Astyanax mexicanus: one gene and its partner. The protein of the gene in region 1 purifies or fractionates together with the protein of each later gene. This does not show direct contact. Links are inferred from orthologs where the notes say so. Each region holds a gene or a part of one and is shown on either strand. Other genes may lie near its edges. The genes, in order: eif2ak3 and tbl2.

Evidence for each region.
Region 2: the proteins of eif2ak3 (region 1) and tbl2 purify together in Homo sapiens (affinity purification with western blotting; 3 studies listed by BioGRID). This does not show direct contact. The link is inferred for Astyanax mexicanus from reciprocal best matches to the Homo sapiens genes EIF2AK3 and TBL2.

The regions. Positions count from the first base shown.
Region 1 is NC_064414.1:26,634,916-26,642,033, reverse strand, and holds the start of eif2ak3 (eukaryotic translation initiation factor 2-alpha kinase 3), read right to left. Parts: upstream 3,257-7,118; 5' UTR 2,568-3,256; coding exon 2,293-2,567; intron 1-2,292. Other genes in the region: rpia (ribose-5-phosphate isomerase), read right to left, coding at 6,513-6,610. UniProt on the Homo sapiens protein: Metabolic-stress sensing protein kinase that phosphorylates the alpha subunit of eukaryotic translation initiation factor 2 (EIF2S1/eIF-2-alpha) in response to various stress, such as unfolded protein response (UPR).
Region 2 is NC_064427.1:11,953,372-11,961,542, forward strand, and holds the start of tbl2 (transducin beta-like protein 2), read right to left. Parts: upstream 3,056-8,171; 5' UTR 2,795-3,055; coding exon 2,668-2,794; intron 1,587-2,667; coding exon 1,471-1,586; intron 404-1,470; coding exon 219-403; intron 56-218; coding exon 1-55. Other genes in the region: prdm15 (PR domain zinc finger protein 15), read right to left, coding at 5,638-6,216, 6,665-6,865, 7,072-7,152, 7,493-7,668, 8,088-8,171.

The DNA of each region.
Region 1 (7,118 bases):
TCAGACTCAGAATAATAAAAAAAACAACAAACAGATCTAGATACAACAACTTCTCTTATTTACTCCAGAAGCTCCAATAGGTCTGTCATTAGAGAGAGAGAGAGTCCACTGCTGCAATAACAGGACTGTATGCGTACCCATCCTCTGTTTTTTTGGATTCAGATTTGGGGTGGGGTCTCTGCACATTTGCCTCAGATGTGGCTTTAATCACACAGCATTAAACACGGGAAAAAAAGTTCCCATTCTAAACCAGGTGAAAAAGCAGCACTTCTAACAGCTCTTTATCTGACTGAACGCTGAAGAGGCTGAATTATGCCTTACAACTTACCTAATATATAGATAATATACACAATTATCTAGGTAAGTTAATAAACGAAATAATAATCATTAATTTGACGTAGACACAGAGCTGAAGCTCGCTGAGGGCACGGAGCTCAAACTCAAACTGTTGCTCGACTGGGTTTTTTAGTTATAGGGAGAGGTTTCAGCAGCTCCAGCGCGCTGCTTCAGTCAAGAGCCGACTGACTACAGGTGAACAAACACTGAAAAACTGTTTTCTCTAAAGCTGCCTAACAAAGTTACTAACTACTAACAACACCTAACTGACATGAACAGAGCATTATAGCTCAAATACAATTTACAATACAGCAATTACTTTATATTAAATGATATCTTCCAAAACATTTCTGCCAGTTTGACTTGGGGGGGCGTTTCCTCCCCTCCGTTAAAACCTCCATACTGCCTCTCTCTGTCCGTGTCAACCTGTGAAGATCGGTCATAAAAAAACCAGCTCTAACTCTAACAAAATACTAACTATTCAGATTTGCCAAATTAGCCTCACTATGGGCTGCATAACATATCAATCTAACGTTCCCCTCCTTATGAAGAAATACATGGAAAAGTAAATGCTCTCTATAGCAAACAAGAAAACAAACGCACTTTTGAATGAACGTCCTTTATTCTATACTTGTTTTATTTTAACCCATGTATTTGAAAATGCATCTTTTTTTACATATTCTTTCATTCATTCATTTCCTGTATTTCACATGCGTTTGCGGCGTTTGTGTTTCCACATGGTTTGGCGTGTGTTTACAAAATATACAAAAATATCTCTTCATATAAAGTGTGACGCTGTGTTAGACTGGAAAAGCTATTTGTATTACAAAATGTAAAGCGAGTCATTGTAGCTAACTAGTTATCTACAGATTTTAAACCTCTCATATTAAAGAAGAGGGGGAAATTGTTCAGCATTGACTAATACACGAATGACATTGAGGGTGTTGGAAAACTTGACCATAGATAAGGGATATGCGGGGCGTTCACAGCCAGCCTCTTCAATGTTTACAGTTAATCTAGCTAAGTTAACTTAACTAGCTGGCTACAGCTCATAACTAAATGATTGCCTAACTCTTTAGCAAACTAGTTAGCTGAACTAGCCCATGTTAGGTTAATTAAACTTAACGGGAGCAACAGCATGGTATCTCAATACTGGACAGATTTAGACCAGTGGCTTGTTAACTAACCTAGCTGAGGTTTTTGAAAGGGGCAATCTGGTAAGGTTAGCTAGTTAACCTAGCTAACTAACTGTCACTGTGGACAACAACAACACCACAGACGAAATGAAACAAGCTGCTAAAACGAGTCTGTTAACATTAGCTAACTACTTAGCTTAGCACCTTCATCATTTTAATCTAAATAACTATTACTTAGCCAACCTATACTCTGAATTTGGCCAGTAACTGGTTAGTTAGCTACAGTTAGCTAGCTAAGTAAACTAATTGACCTAGCTAGCTTTTGCCTTGGATATGCTACATTATCTGGCTGGTTTAGCAAGACAGCATAGCTAACGCTAGCTTAACAAGTAAAATCCTCTTAAATGTAGTGTAAATATTAACGTTAATTATTCCTCATTTAAAGTAACATTACAGGAATTACTAACTTATTTCGAACGTCCTTGTAACTTTTACTTGTTATAGATTATTTAAAACTACCAAAAGCGCCATAGCTAATTGCTAAGCAAATTCAGGACAATTTTAGCTAGTTTGTGTCAAGAAATAATGCTTAAAACGAGCAACAAAAATATCTGCCAATGGAATAAGAAACTGTACGTTAGGTCAGCTCGCTCGGTTGGTTATCCTAGGTGAGCTAACGCTAACCTAACTAACTTCAGGAAGTTTCGCTAGGTGTTAACCACACTGACTGACAGTGTCAACTACCTTCAAACAAAAACCCCAGGGTCTGTTAATTAACTCTACTTCACAGGGAGAAACAAGGTAATTCAGCGCTGTCTACCTTCTGTTGTGAGGGAAGTTTGAGTCGCTCTCTCCAGACGTTTCCTCTCCCTCTCCTCCAGTCGCCCCGTTCTCGTCCTCCACTGTCACGTCCCCCGTTCCTCCCGGAGCCCCTGAGCTCTCCAGCCGCTCCATAACGGCTCCATCTCCTGCTGCCGGGGCCTCCAGCTTTCTCCCGGAGAGGGAGTTGGTTTGTAAAGTCCCGGTTACCCCTCTCAAGATCAACAACAGCACAAGGGATATGCCCGCGATTCCAAACCGAAGCCCCCTTTCCATTGGGACAAGTGGCACATTAGCTAGTATGTTAGATAGGCAATCCCATCCATACGAAAAACAAAATGCAAAGCTAGTTTTTTAAAACAGCTTCCCTGAAAAAAAAAAGCTCTGAAACGATTTATACTAATAAAGGACGCAATTAACAAGCTTCCCTGCGACTTTCAGATCTCTTTTCTTAGCGTAAACACGAGTCTCTGTAGCACCATGTTATTGGCTTTATAGCGCCCTCAGTCTTGCCGTGGTAACGTTCAGCCCGCCCCGTATCCAAACACGCATTGGCCGCGGAGGAACACACGAGTCCAGCGCGTCCTGTCCACAGCGCTCTGATAGCAGCGCTCGCACATCACTCCGCGCAGCTCGTCTACTAAGCAGAAGGGGATTGGGCGGGGGAACTGTCAGTCAGATGCGGAGCTCCGCCCCCCAAACAGAGAGCGCTATTGGCTGCTGGCCCGTCAGTCACACCCCAAAAGGCGGGGTTTAAGCAGAAAGAGGGGAGAATCAGAGCAAGTAGAGGAGCGTGGCGTGTCCGAACCCTCCAAACACATTACAGCAGAGAGAGGACCAACGACACGACCAACGAAACGACACCCCGGCCTCACAGCGCGCGCCCTGATTGGTCCGCTGCTCCACGAGCCCGTCTGTCAAAATAGTTCCCCAGCTTTTTAAATGGGCGGATCCGCCGCTGACGAGCTGATCAGCGGGAGGATCTCGTGAGTCTCTGAACAACAGCGAGATGGAAAGCGCGACGTGGCCGCTTAATCGCGGGCAAAAGCAGCTTCACGCTTCCTTTTCCGGAGAAAGTTCAGCAGCACTGTGCGTAGAAAACAAGCGCCACTGTTTAAAGCGCACTCACACACACCTGAAGAGTTCTGAACTTTTAAATCACGGAAACGGGTCTGTAAATGTGGTTGGATTACATTAAAGAGCCTGTTTAACTCGCACGATGCGATAAAAACAGTTATAAATATAGTTCCTTCCATTCATAACATACATAAATACAATATAAAAAATATAATAAAATCGTAAAATAGTGCGTGAAGCAGCAAATAGTGATTTAAAACAGTACTAATCATAATCACTAAACATAACTTTTTCACATTTTTACTTTTCACTTTTATCCATTATATGTCACATGTGGTCATTAAAAAAGAGAGGCATTTATTTAACACAAAATTAAATGTATAATGAATATCAGATATACAGTAAATCCAAAGTGTAAAACGTTTAATTCGCTAGGACCGTCCTGGGCATGTCTGGGCATGATTATAAGTTAAGGGCAGCGTTTTCTGCTGCCATCTTGCGGCCTTTTAAGAAAATGACACATTTACGATAATATGAACAGAAACTATAATACATATATTATACATATAATACTCATATCATATTTTGTTTGCATTTAAGGCATTTAGCAGATGCTGAATTATATATTATATAATGTTACAAGACATGTCTCCATTCAATAAAATTAGGGGGAAAAGTTTAATTCATTTTAAAAGTCAAAGCCACATGGATTTCAATATCACCAATTGGTGAATTGTTGAATAGTGGTAAATAGTTTATTTTTAAATTTTCTTTAAATATTATATATTGTGCATAAATAAAGAGGAGGAAACGCATATATTGCTAATCAATGTTTTTTTTTTTTTACTTATTAAAGTGTTTATTTATTAGTTGCATCAGAGCAGCAATATACAGTTAGAGCACATTTGTTAAAGGAATAATGCTAATAAAGCAGTGGTATTTGTTATTTACCTACAAACATAAAATTTAAGCCATAGAGGGTTAGGAACATCTTAACATGGAGAAAGTGCTCAGTCTGACGCTTACTCAAATAAATGCTCTAAATGACAATATTTGGAATTTGTCCGTAGTTTATAGAATAAAACAATAATGTTAATTTTACTCAAACATACACCTATATATATATAATAGCAAAATCAGAGAAACTGAAATGTCTCAATCTTTCCCAGAGCTGTATTAAAAAAAAAAAAAAATCAGTATGGATACCTAGATTCATGGCACTTGCATACTACACTTTAACTAAAAGTCAAATAACATCATGAGTACAGCCTTTATATCATAAGTGCAAGATAATTTAAAACAATTTAAGTACTTTTTGGAGGAGAATGCTGTTCAGTTTTGACATCTGAAATCATTTGTCCTACCATCTTAGTGCCAGGACAGAGAATGACTTGGATGCATTTTAAAAGATAGTAGGTTAAGCTGAGCCATACTGAAAGCTCAAAGAGGATCTGGTTTTGACCTTTCAAGTCCATTTTTAGTTTTGTAGGCCAGTTTTGGGGTTTGCTGGTGGCAACAGGGGCAGCTACATAGTTTACCAATAAAGTAATATCAAAAAATGAAAAAGTACCACAAGTCTTGTTTATTTGATTGGTCCTCTTTTAATGCAAGATTGGTCTTTAAAACAATAAAGAATGCCATTCGCTAATCCAAACCGTAATGTCACAGTAGTATTGGTACAGAAACATTGTCAACATAAAGCTGGTGTTGTCATAGGTCACAGTGACTTCATTAGAAAGTCACACAAGACAAACATCTCTTAAGAACATAAAGGAGCGGAAGGTGCCTGAGGTAAGGCCTGATCACTTGGGTTGAGTTAAGCCAGGTTGCTGGAAACCTGTGCTACTGTAAATTCCTGACAACAGTTTGTTGAGATTGATAGGCACATCAAAGAAAAATACGAATTGTACAAATTGAATTGAATCAATTGGCATATACAGTCCATACATAGGCAGACAAGGCTGCTGCTCTGTACTGTATATATTTTTAACAAATCTGTGGCTCTATCTGATCAAAGCTAGCTGTAACATCCAAAATACTGACCCTCTCATTTTACATCAAATATTCATAAGACCCAATACACACCCAATACTACTGCATTACTAGTAGTACTATGTTTTTTCAAGATCACATTTTTCTTCATTTTTTCCCTGAAATCTGAGCTCAAAACACTGATCAATCTGAAATAAACTGTGGTTACATTCATTCAACGCTCCAAAGAGCCAAAACTGCATCTGCTCATTTGATTGTTTTGATATAAACCTTAACATGTTATTATTGAAATGTGAAAGAAATGTAAAACAGTGGCCTAATTGTAAACAGAGGTATTAATCTGACACTTGAGAGACGGACACTTAAATGTAAATAAATCTACTGATTATAGGTACTGGTCCATACCGTTAATGAGGTCTGAATGCAGAGAAAAATAAAAAAGAAATCCATGCACCTTTAAATGTGTAAAAGTGTTTAACTGCAGTGTGTGCGCTAAATTTAGCTAATCTCCCACCACTGTCATGCTTTGGTTCAATATAACAAAAAGTGTTGAAATACAAGGCAACAACCAAGCGAAACAAAGTGAAAGATGCATGAGGCACAGAGATCAAAGTACATCTAGAAATGGCTTCAAATTCAAAGTGTGTAGAGACATGCAGAAATGACAAGAATCAAAAAATTTGAGACAGTAAAGAAAAAACACACAAACAGAAGGCAGACAGTAACAGCCATTTCACCAGGTTAAAGGTTTAAAGGTCTAGTTTCAACTAATAAATGTTTTTAAATGATTTAGTCCTAGACTAGGCTTAATTTTGTGGCTGCCAGAAGGCCAAGCTGTTTAGCAGCTTTAGATTTACCCTAAGTACAGGGTCAGTAACAGAGTGGTTAACAACACTACGAGAAACAAAATAGAGAGGAAAGACGAGGTGTATGACATGGTGAATGCGTACACATCTGCTTTTCATACACTCAAACCTTCATCAGATATTAGGAAATGTTGTGGTTGCATGTCTCTCTCCCAGTAGAAGTAGTAGTTATCTCCAGTAGATGGCACGCATGAGCTGCACGAGTGTGTGTACTCTACTGGCACTGCGGTGTCAGGCTGGTCTTGTCTTTGCAGCAGGCGGGAAAAGGCGTTCTCCTCGTTCCCCTTCAGTTAACAGGAGGATCTCGGATCTTCACACTTCCATCTTCCATCCCAAAGTAAACTCGCTCAGCCATCCCCACAAACAGCCCTGTCTCCACCACACCTAGAGAAGAGAAAGGAAATGGGAAAGAAAATTCTAAAATAAATGGTAATAAAAAGACTTGATCATTCATTTCTTTGCTGGAGGAACTGTTATTCACTGCTGGGGTAGGCTTTCTAATATTTTGGAGCACTGTACTGTGATGATTCGATTGTAATCAGCACAACAAGTGGGTTATTGAGGTCAGAATGCTGTATGATCACCACCCCACCTCATCCCAAAGTACTGGATGGGGAGATCACAGCTCACTGCTGAGGGCTGAGGGCTTTATATACTTCTAGCCCATGCCAGATATTAGGCATGGTGCCAACAGGTCAGTGTTTCAGAGAGTTCTATTATACTGAAAATTAGGGGTGTGACGAGATCTCGTGGCATTTAAAAAAAAAGTTCTGTCTCTGTTTGCACTTCAAGCATAGTCTTAATATGACTAGTTATGGTTATGCATAGTTAAATTACAAGAGATTTAGAAGAAAAAAAAAACAAACCATAGTCTTAATATGACTGGTTGTGG
Region 2 (8,171 bases), on another chromosome or scaffold:
AGTCATCTTGAAGATCCGAATGGTCTCTGCGTTGGCCAGCCATGTGATGAAAGCTCTAAAAAACCCAGTGCAGTATCACAGAGCTGCCTGATTATTATTTATACTTGCTGGCCATTTTATTAGAAACACCTACTATAAATGTTCAGTGGTACACACACCAGTGTTACTGCTAGGCTGAAAGTGAGTTCAACACCTTCAACTCTGAGGTCAGCACTTACCGGGAATCTGGGCTGAAGCGGACGAGTGTAGCATGGTCAAACTCTACATTCGCTCGCAGACATTTATGGTCACGGTCCAGGAAGTCCTTGGTGCTCCAGATCCGGATGCTACGGTCGTCTGAGCAGGAGGCCAGATATTTACCATTGCTGCTGAAATCTAGGCATGTTATATTCCCACTGTGGTTCTGAGATAAGGAGATGAGAAGAAAAAAATAATTTTTGAAAGAGAAAAAAATACAGGGCAGGCACTTATAAAAGTGGCGCGTTAATGAAAGTATGTGTTTCTAAAAACAATGTTGTAATTTTTTACTTTTTTAAATTGTTTAAACTGTTTGACTATAGTCATGATTAACACATTAACACGACATGTTGGCCCCTAGGCTGCACTTTAAATGGGCATTCCATCCTAAACATTTCTATACACACTTACAAAATTAATCATATTAATATTATTGCTGTAATTATATTAAATCACAACAACATTCTGTGATTAATCATAATTAAATCATGATTTATTTTTAGGCAGATCCTTTTTTACTGTACTATAAAATCTCAGGGTAGTTTTGATGATTTTTTTAAATTAAAATATTTTAATGTGCTGAGATACTGAGTTAAACTGAGTTAAAAGTAAATGCTAATGTAGCTCCATATTCTACCTTCAACAACCTGAAAATGGTTGGGTGAAAATTAAGCACCCTGACCAGCCAAAAGCACTTTGCTTACGAAGCAGTGGCGGAATCAAGTTGACTTGACTGAAAGTGGCAAAATGTGAGATGAAATGATGTGTAGTTTAGAACATGGGACCGTACAAGCAGATTAGGAGGTCAAAATACATGGCCGTTACACAAAATGCGCACATTTTGGCAGGTCTGCCTTAGCTGACTTGCTTTTGTTTTTTGAGTGCCAATAATGCACTTTTTCCCACACTTTTTAAGTAAATTACAGGTGCAACATTGTTTGCCTAAAAGTATTCCTTTTAGGAACAATCACAAATCAAACAATTCTGAACTCCCGTGTCGTGTCAAGTGTTTATCATTAAAATGGACCAAAGGGGGTTCAAATGTCATGAAAAATAAACAAATAAAATAAAATAAAATGTGGCCAATCAGTGGGCCCTAATCATTGAATAGGCCCCAAGGCTGCAGCCTAGAATAGCTTGTGCTTTAAAAAGTATTTAACAGAGTCAGTAGCATTACAGGCACTGGCCTGACAGGTGAGACTGTAGGTCTGGCGGCCAGAAAAGGAGGCATACCTTTAGAGAAGATGCCAGAAGAGTGTGGGTGAAAATGTGCTGCTGGGGTTTTTCTTTCCGTGGTCGCTGCTGCTGTTTCTGCTTCTTAGAAGAGGCTTTCGCTGAACTCTCTTCAGCTGTAACATTAAATAGCAGCAGAGTGTCTGTTTGTTTGTGTTTGTGCCATATCAGCAAGCAGCAGAGTGAGATGAATATTTGATTACACTAATAATGCACTTGAGTATCAAAAACAGATCATAATTAATCATCATTTTATTTTCATATTATTCTGATAAACAAACTCAATTAAACTTTGTTTGCATTCACACAAATCCCTTTAATAAAAAACAATCATAATTTCTATAGTACTTTTACTCAAGTTATATTCTGTCTACAATTTCTACTCCAGTAAAAGTGCACAAATAGGATCTTTATTCATTGAAACACAAATTCCCAAATAGTTTTGTACCTTAACTTAAGTACTATTTTTTGACCTAACATTTACTTCACAAACAAATTATTATAAACTTTGTACACACATCACCCAAACATCAGGTGTATATGAAAAAATGTCTTTTTAGAGTAGGTTTAGAGTGAAACACACCCAGTCACACAACTGTTAACACTAGTAATAAACGGTATTAGACATCTGAACCTTTAATTCACACCAAACCCCACTCTGAATGTGTTCATCTAAAACACCAAAAACTTTGAGAAGTTGGTGAAGACCACCTTCAGCACCCCAACACTAAATCACACGTATAATGTACATGATGTGAACAAAAGTATTGGGACACCTCTTCATTAATGGCTTAATCTGAAATCTATTTTAGTAGAGAGTTTAACCTGCTATTGTTGGAGTAATTGTCTTTCCTGTCCAGAAAATGCTTTCTAAACGATTATAGAGCATTGCTGTGAGGATCTGACTGCACTGAACAGCAAAGGCATTTGTGAGGGCAGGATATTAAATGATGAATCTCCCCACCTCATCCTAAAAGTCCTGAACTGAGCACAGTCATTTTACAGCTCAGTGCATCCAGTCCATGACCGAGTCCTTTTCTACTGTTCTATTAGCAGCACCTCTCATTTAGCCATGACTACACAGCCTGTGTCTGCTTTTACACACATGCAGTTTAGCAGCAATGGGTGCATCTTAAAGTAGCTAAATGTTTTCATTTAAAAGGTGATCAGAGTTATCTGTAATATAAGGAAACTCACCTGTGGGTTTTACCTGCTCTGGCTCAGGTTGCTCAGGTGTTCCGTTTCTCTTCGCAACTGCAGCAAAGATCAGCACGAGAAGAGCCCCGAGAAACAGGGAGAGCACGAGCACAGCTGAGAACTCCATCACATACACACAAATACAATCTCACAGACATACACACACTCACACAAAACACATGCATATGTACATACACAAACTACTGTATCTCTCTCTCCCTCTCTCTCTCCGCCTCTGTGCGCGTGCTGACTAAGCGTATTAATATCGGGCGCGTGTATAAAGAAATTGATCTATATTTATCTGTATTAATAACTATTCGCGCTGCAGTCGTGGACCGTGCTGACTTGTCAGAGTTTTCTTCAGGGGTTTCCTCAGCTTTCAGGAAAATACTGATCCCTCCCGCCCTCTGGCGGCCTGGAGGAGGTGAGCTGTGCTCGCCCTGTTCATTCATTAATTTATTCATTCAATCTGTTTCAAAAGTCAGCCTTCCACATTTTTGATTCTGTAATGTACCTTTTACACACAATATCTAACGAAGCTTAAGTTCTTTTTATTCGCCACTAGGGTTGACAACTTTCAGAATTAAAAATAAGGGACGCTTATGGAGTCTGAATGTGTCCGTGGAGCGGAGAGAGGAGGGGTTTCAATACGGGAAGCAAAGGACGACTCTGGAAGCCCATTTCCGCCACCTGAAGAAAAAAAAACTTCCTAAACTAAGTCATAATTATGAGATAGAAAAGTCATAATTATGGGATAGTAAGTCATAATTATGAGATACGAAGTCATAATTATGAGATGACTTTTTATCTCATAAATATGACTTACTATCTCATAATTATGACTTTTTTATCTCATAATTATGACTTACTATCTCAAAATTATGACTTACTATCCCATAATTATGACTTTTCTATCTCATAATTATGACTTAGTTTAGGAAGTTTTTTTTTCTTCAGGTGGCGGAAATGGGCTTCCATACTGGACTGTTCACTCCAGCCCAGTTTAAAAACAATCTTTCACTGTTTCCCAAATGAGAGCCTACAAACTCTACAAACAATCTCTGCCATTCTATCAGTAAATTACTGTACATCGCTACTGTACACTGGGGTATGGGAGATTATTTTTCAATTTAGTTATTCACTCAGGCAAAAATAAAGTATATTTTCTTTTTAAACTGTGATAAGCTACAGGTGTAATAAAATACAAAAACAATAAAAATAAAACAATGTATCTGCTTAAGAATTAGTTTTCAGAGACAGAAAAAAATATATAATAATATTGGGTAGATGTGTAAAATGCTATGGCTGTATTGGTGTCAATTAGGATGCTTAAAGGAGAACTCCTGAGTAAAATGGACTTTTGGTGTAGTAAAACATGATAAAAGTACTTACCTTTGATGAAAAGCACCAGATCCAGGAATATTAAATAGTAGTTTGTCCAAACATCCTTTAGACTGGGTGACACGGGGCATAATTTGTATATGTATATATATATGTGTGTGTGTGATTATCAGTACAGTAATGGCAGCGCACAGAGGTAAAGCTAGTTTTATGGGATGTAAACAGTTTTTTTGTGCAATTTTTTAAAGTTATTAATGCCTTGTTTTAACTGTCAGGGCTATCCAGATTCTAGCAAAGAGGTGTGGAGCTACTTTGAGCCTGAATACCAAAAAAAAGCGTAATAAAGAAGAATAATAAAAAAGCGATTTATCAGGGCAAATTATGCCCCATGTCACCCAGTCTGAAGGGTGTTTGGACAAACTGTTAAAATTTCTGAATCTTGGTACGCTGTGGGAGAAAAGAGGTGTGCTATTTACCAAAGGTATGTACTTTTTATTATGTTTTACTACGCCAAAAGTCCATTTTACTGATCAGCCACAGATGAAAACAAAGTCTTACTGATGAATACTGGAATAGATTAAATCCACTACAACAGTGATTATAGATTTAGTTTATTTAAAGCTACCTGGTGTGAAAATAACAAAAAGTTCATTAAAAAAGATCCATAGTCAGGTGAGCAGGTAAGACAGCTTCACATTTATCTTTCTTTCTTTGTTTCTTATCTTAATATACTTGTTTCTTACAAACAGCTTCTCTGAACTTGAGGAAGAACTTATGTTTCCAGTTTAGAACGGTCTCTTGCAAAAGACTGCAATACAAACGCAACAAGCCATTCAAAATAATATACATACAGCTTTGGTTTGCGTTCATATTAAACTAATAAATGTGACTGGTGGCATTATTCTTTTTAAACAACTTAAAATGCACTGTAAAAAGCACACATCTGTATGTGGTTTCCAAACTCTGCTTCTGCAATCAGCATTTACCTGCTCTTTTTTAAGCCCTTCCTTTCCAGGCCCTCCCCAGGCAGTATAGAAAAACCTGAAGAGGGGAATGGTTAAGTGTGTTAGAGCAGAAAAAAATCTTAGCTAATGCAGAGTAGAGATAGACCAGGATTGCTTTAAACTGCCAAGTGCAAAAGGGGAGCTCCACCAATTTGTCAAAGCTCCCGGGTGTAAAAATTCAGAGCGGGTTTGGTTTGAAACACTCAATTCACAGTAAGAATTATGAACATGCTGCCTGAAGCCTCAGAAGGTTATTTTAAAAATCACATATCATTAAAATGTGGAGGGATACATTTAGCTGTTCAGCAAAAAGTAGTCCACAAGGAAATTGTGTATGCATCAAATTTTCAACTATTTATCGCCATCCCCTATAAAACTGAAAAGACTTATGTAGGTTTACTAGTGGGTTTGGAAAGTAAATGAAATGGGACTATTTGTGTTTTAGTCATTTGATTTGATTCACTAACACTGTTGAAAATTTTCTCTAAAATGAACCACAATTTTACACCGCACCCCACTCTCTGACTGTCCCCACTCACTTTGAATGTCTTCAGTTTACACACAAATTTACACAGGAATTAGGAAAACTGTGTGGAGTTCCCCTTTAATTGTTTACTTTTAACTTTCAGTAGCTAAACATCTGTGGCGCTGTAGAGGAATCCTGCGTAGGTTCTGAAGTCTCAGGCTGGATCTGATGACTTTGCTCCATTGGGGGATGTGCTTGCTGGGGCAGCTGCTGCGAAGTGGCCCCCTGAAGTTGGGGGTCCTGGGGGTCCTGAGGGTCCGGTTGGGATCCATCTATTGCTGCTGTGACGTGGGTCCCATCAGCAGGAGTAACAGGCCTCCAGGCTAATGCCGTCTGCTCCATGGGGTGGGTTATGGGGTTGACAAAGGTGGTGAGGTTGATAAAGTGAGCGACAGATTGAGGAGCAGCAGGCCCCGCCCCTCCCTCGCTCTGCAGCTCTTCCGGACGGTTGTGTAGCATGGTGGAACCACTCACTGTATCAAAAGTCACAGTCAGGATGGAGTTGTCCAGACTCAAAGGCCGGTCGTTAGGCGTCAGGTGTCCCATGGCAACAGGCTGCAGGTTGGTGAACTGTGTCGGGGCGGGCGTGTTTATTGGAGTCACCGTGATGTTGGTCAGACTCACAGAACTAGAGGGAGATTCTGCAGCAGTGGTGTTGGGGTCCGCCAATACAACCACCTGGGTATGGTGAGAGGGTGGAGAGAATGATTAAACACATGTCAGTCATAATTTTTTATACACACATCCCTGCCACTTTATCAGAACCCACTCCCTTGTAACTTGCTGGTGCTCAAATAGAGACTGTACACTCAGGTTGTAAGAGTTTCTAAAAAAGTTGACGGAATAGAACCAAAAGGTGGTACCACTAGGTAGGTGTTTATTATAAATTGGCCAGTGATTAGAAACATAAGGTGGGTGCTTATGAGATAGTGGCCAGATAGTGGATGAACATAGTAGGCATGGCCAGAGAGTGGAAGTACAAAAGGAAGTGTTTCTTATGAAGTGGCCAGTGAGTGGAAGCACATGATGGGAGTGTCTTCCAGTGTGTCTTATTTGTTCAAAACACAGGTTGTAATAAGGTGACCAGAGAGTGGAAGCATAAGGTAGGTATTTTAATAATCCGAACCTGCTGAATGCTCTGTACAGCAGAGTTAGTCTCGTCTCCCACAGCGCTTGTGAAGGTGGTTTTGTTGGTGAATTCTGCATACTCATCTGAGTCTGACAGCTCCGGCTCCTCCAGCTGATGCTTCTGCTGTTTCTTATCGGGACTGGAGCTCTGGAGAGAATTCTCTGTAGAGAGGGGGGTTTTCTCCAGTGGCACAGATGGCTGAAACATACACACAGACAGAGGGAAAGAGAGAGAGAAACCACATAAGCAAGTATATTAGGAATTACTGAACACTTCCATATGATTTAGGAATGCAGTGGCTAGTTACATTACTGCTACTGTAGCTTCAATGTAAAAGAAACAGTTTAGACATAAAAGAGGTTTCAGCTGAATTATTACTTTAAAGACAGTTTCATAAAAGACACCTGTACTATGCTGATGGAGGAGGCACCAATAGTTGCAGAATCCTGAAGATCTTCAAAGCCCTCCACTCTCACTTGCACCACCTGCTCTCAGAAAGAACACACAGCAGATATGTAGACTCACTTCACACGCAAAAACTACTACAAAACGCACTGCAGTAGTTCAGTCATGACTGCATATATTTACACTATTTGAACAGTATGTGGACAGCTGTTATTAACTAGATGCAGATCCCCATTACCAAAGTAAAAGCTTGAACTATCCCCAGAGAAAGACACCATCCTACATCATGATTGGCATTGGGTGCTCATTGGGGCTCATGGCTGCCCCAGAGTGTCCTCTGTACCAAAACAATTGTTGTAATGTGCAAAGAGTGAAACTGTGTGTGTGTGTGTGTGTGTGTGCATGTCTGTGAGTGTGTACCTCAGGGTGTTTCCTGCGAAGGTGACGATTCATCGATGCACGTGTGGAGACTTTAGTTCCACACAGATGGCAGTCCTGTGCCTCCACCTTGTCATGTGTGAGCTGAACGTGTTTCTGCAACATGTACTCTGTCACATACTTCTTATCACACACTGTGCATGACCATGTCTTTCCCACTGTGGACGGAAACACACACATACAGCAAAAAATATAATCATGATCCTCTAATTTACTATACAAAAGGGTTTCATTTTTTTGCCACATTTAATATAGCAGCAGTTTAGGGGTGTTTTCAAACATTTAGGTCCGAAACCAAGGTTCCTGTGTTTGTAATACTGTGTACTTTTGATCAGGTCATCACGCAGATGGGCTGCATCTTCAGAGACTTAAAATTAATTGGTTTATACAGGTTGAGTCAAAAGTCACAGGACACGCTTTTATTTCAGAAAAAAACGAAAGGGAAACAGACAAATCTAAATACCGCATGAAGTTATGAGTGAGGGGGCCTAACTTTCAGTCCAAAATATGGTCACCATTTTGAATGCTACCATAATTTATTTCTGAAATAAAAGGGTTTCCTGCGATTTTGACTCACCCTGTAGAATGTTGTTAGTTTGGCCAGTTGCCTTTCTGTGCCCCCCTCCCCTCCACTCTGCCGGAATTTGACTTCCATTTGCGA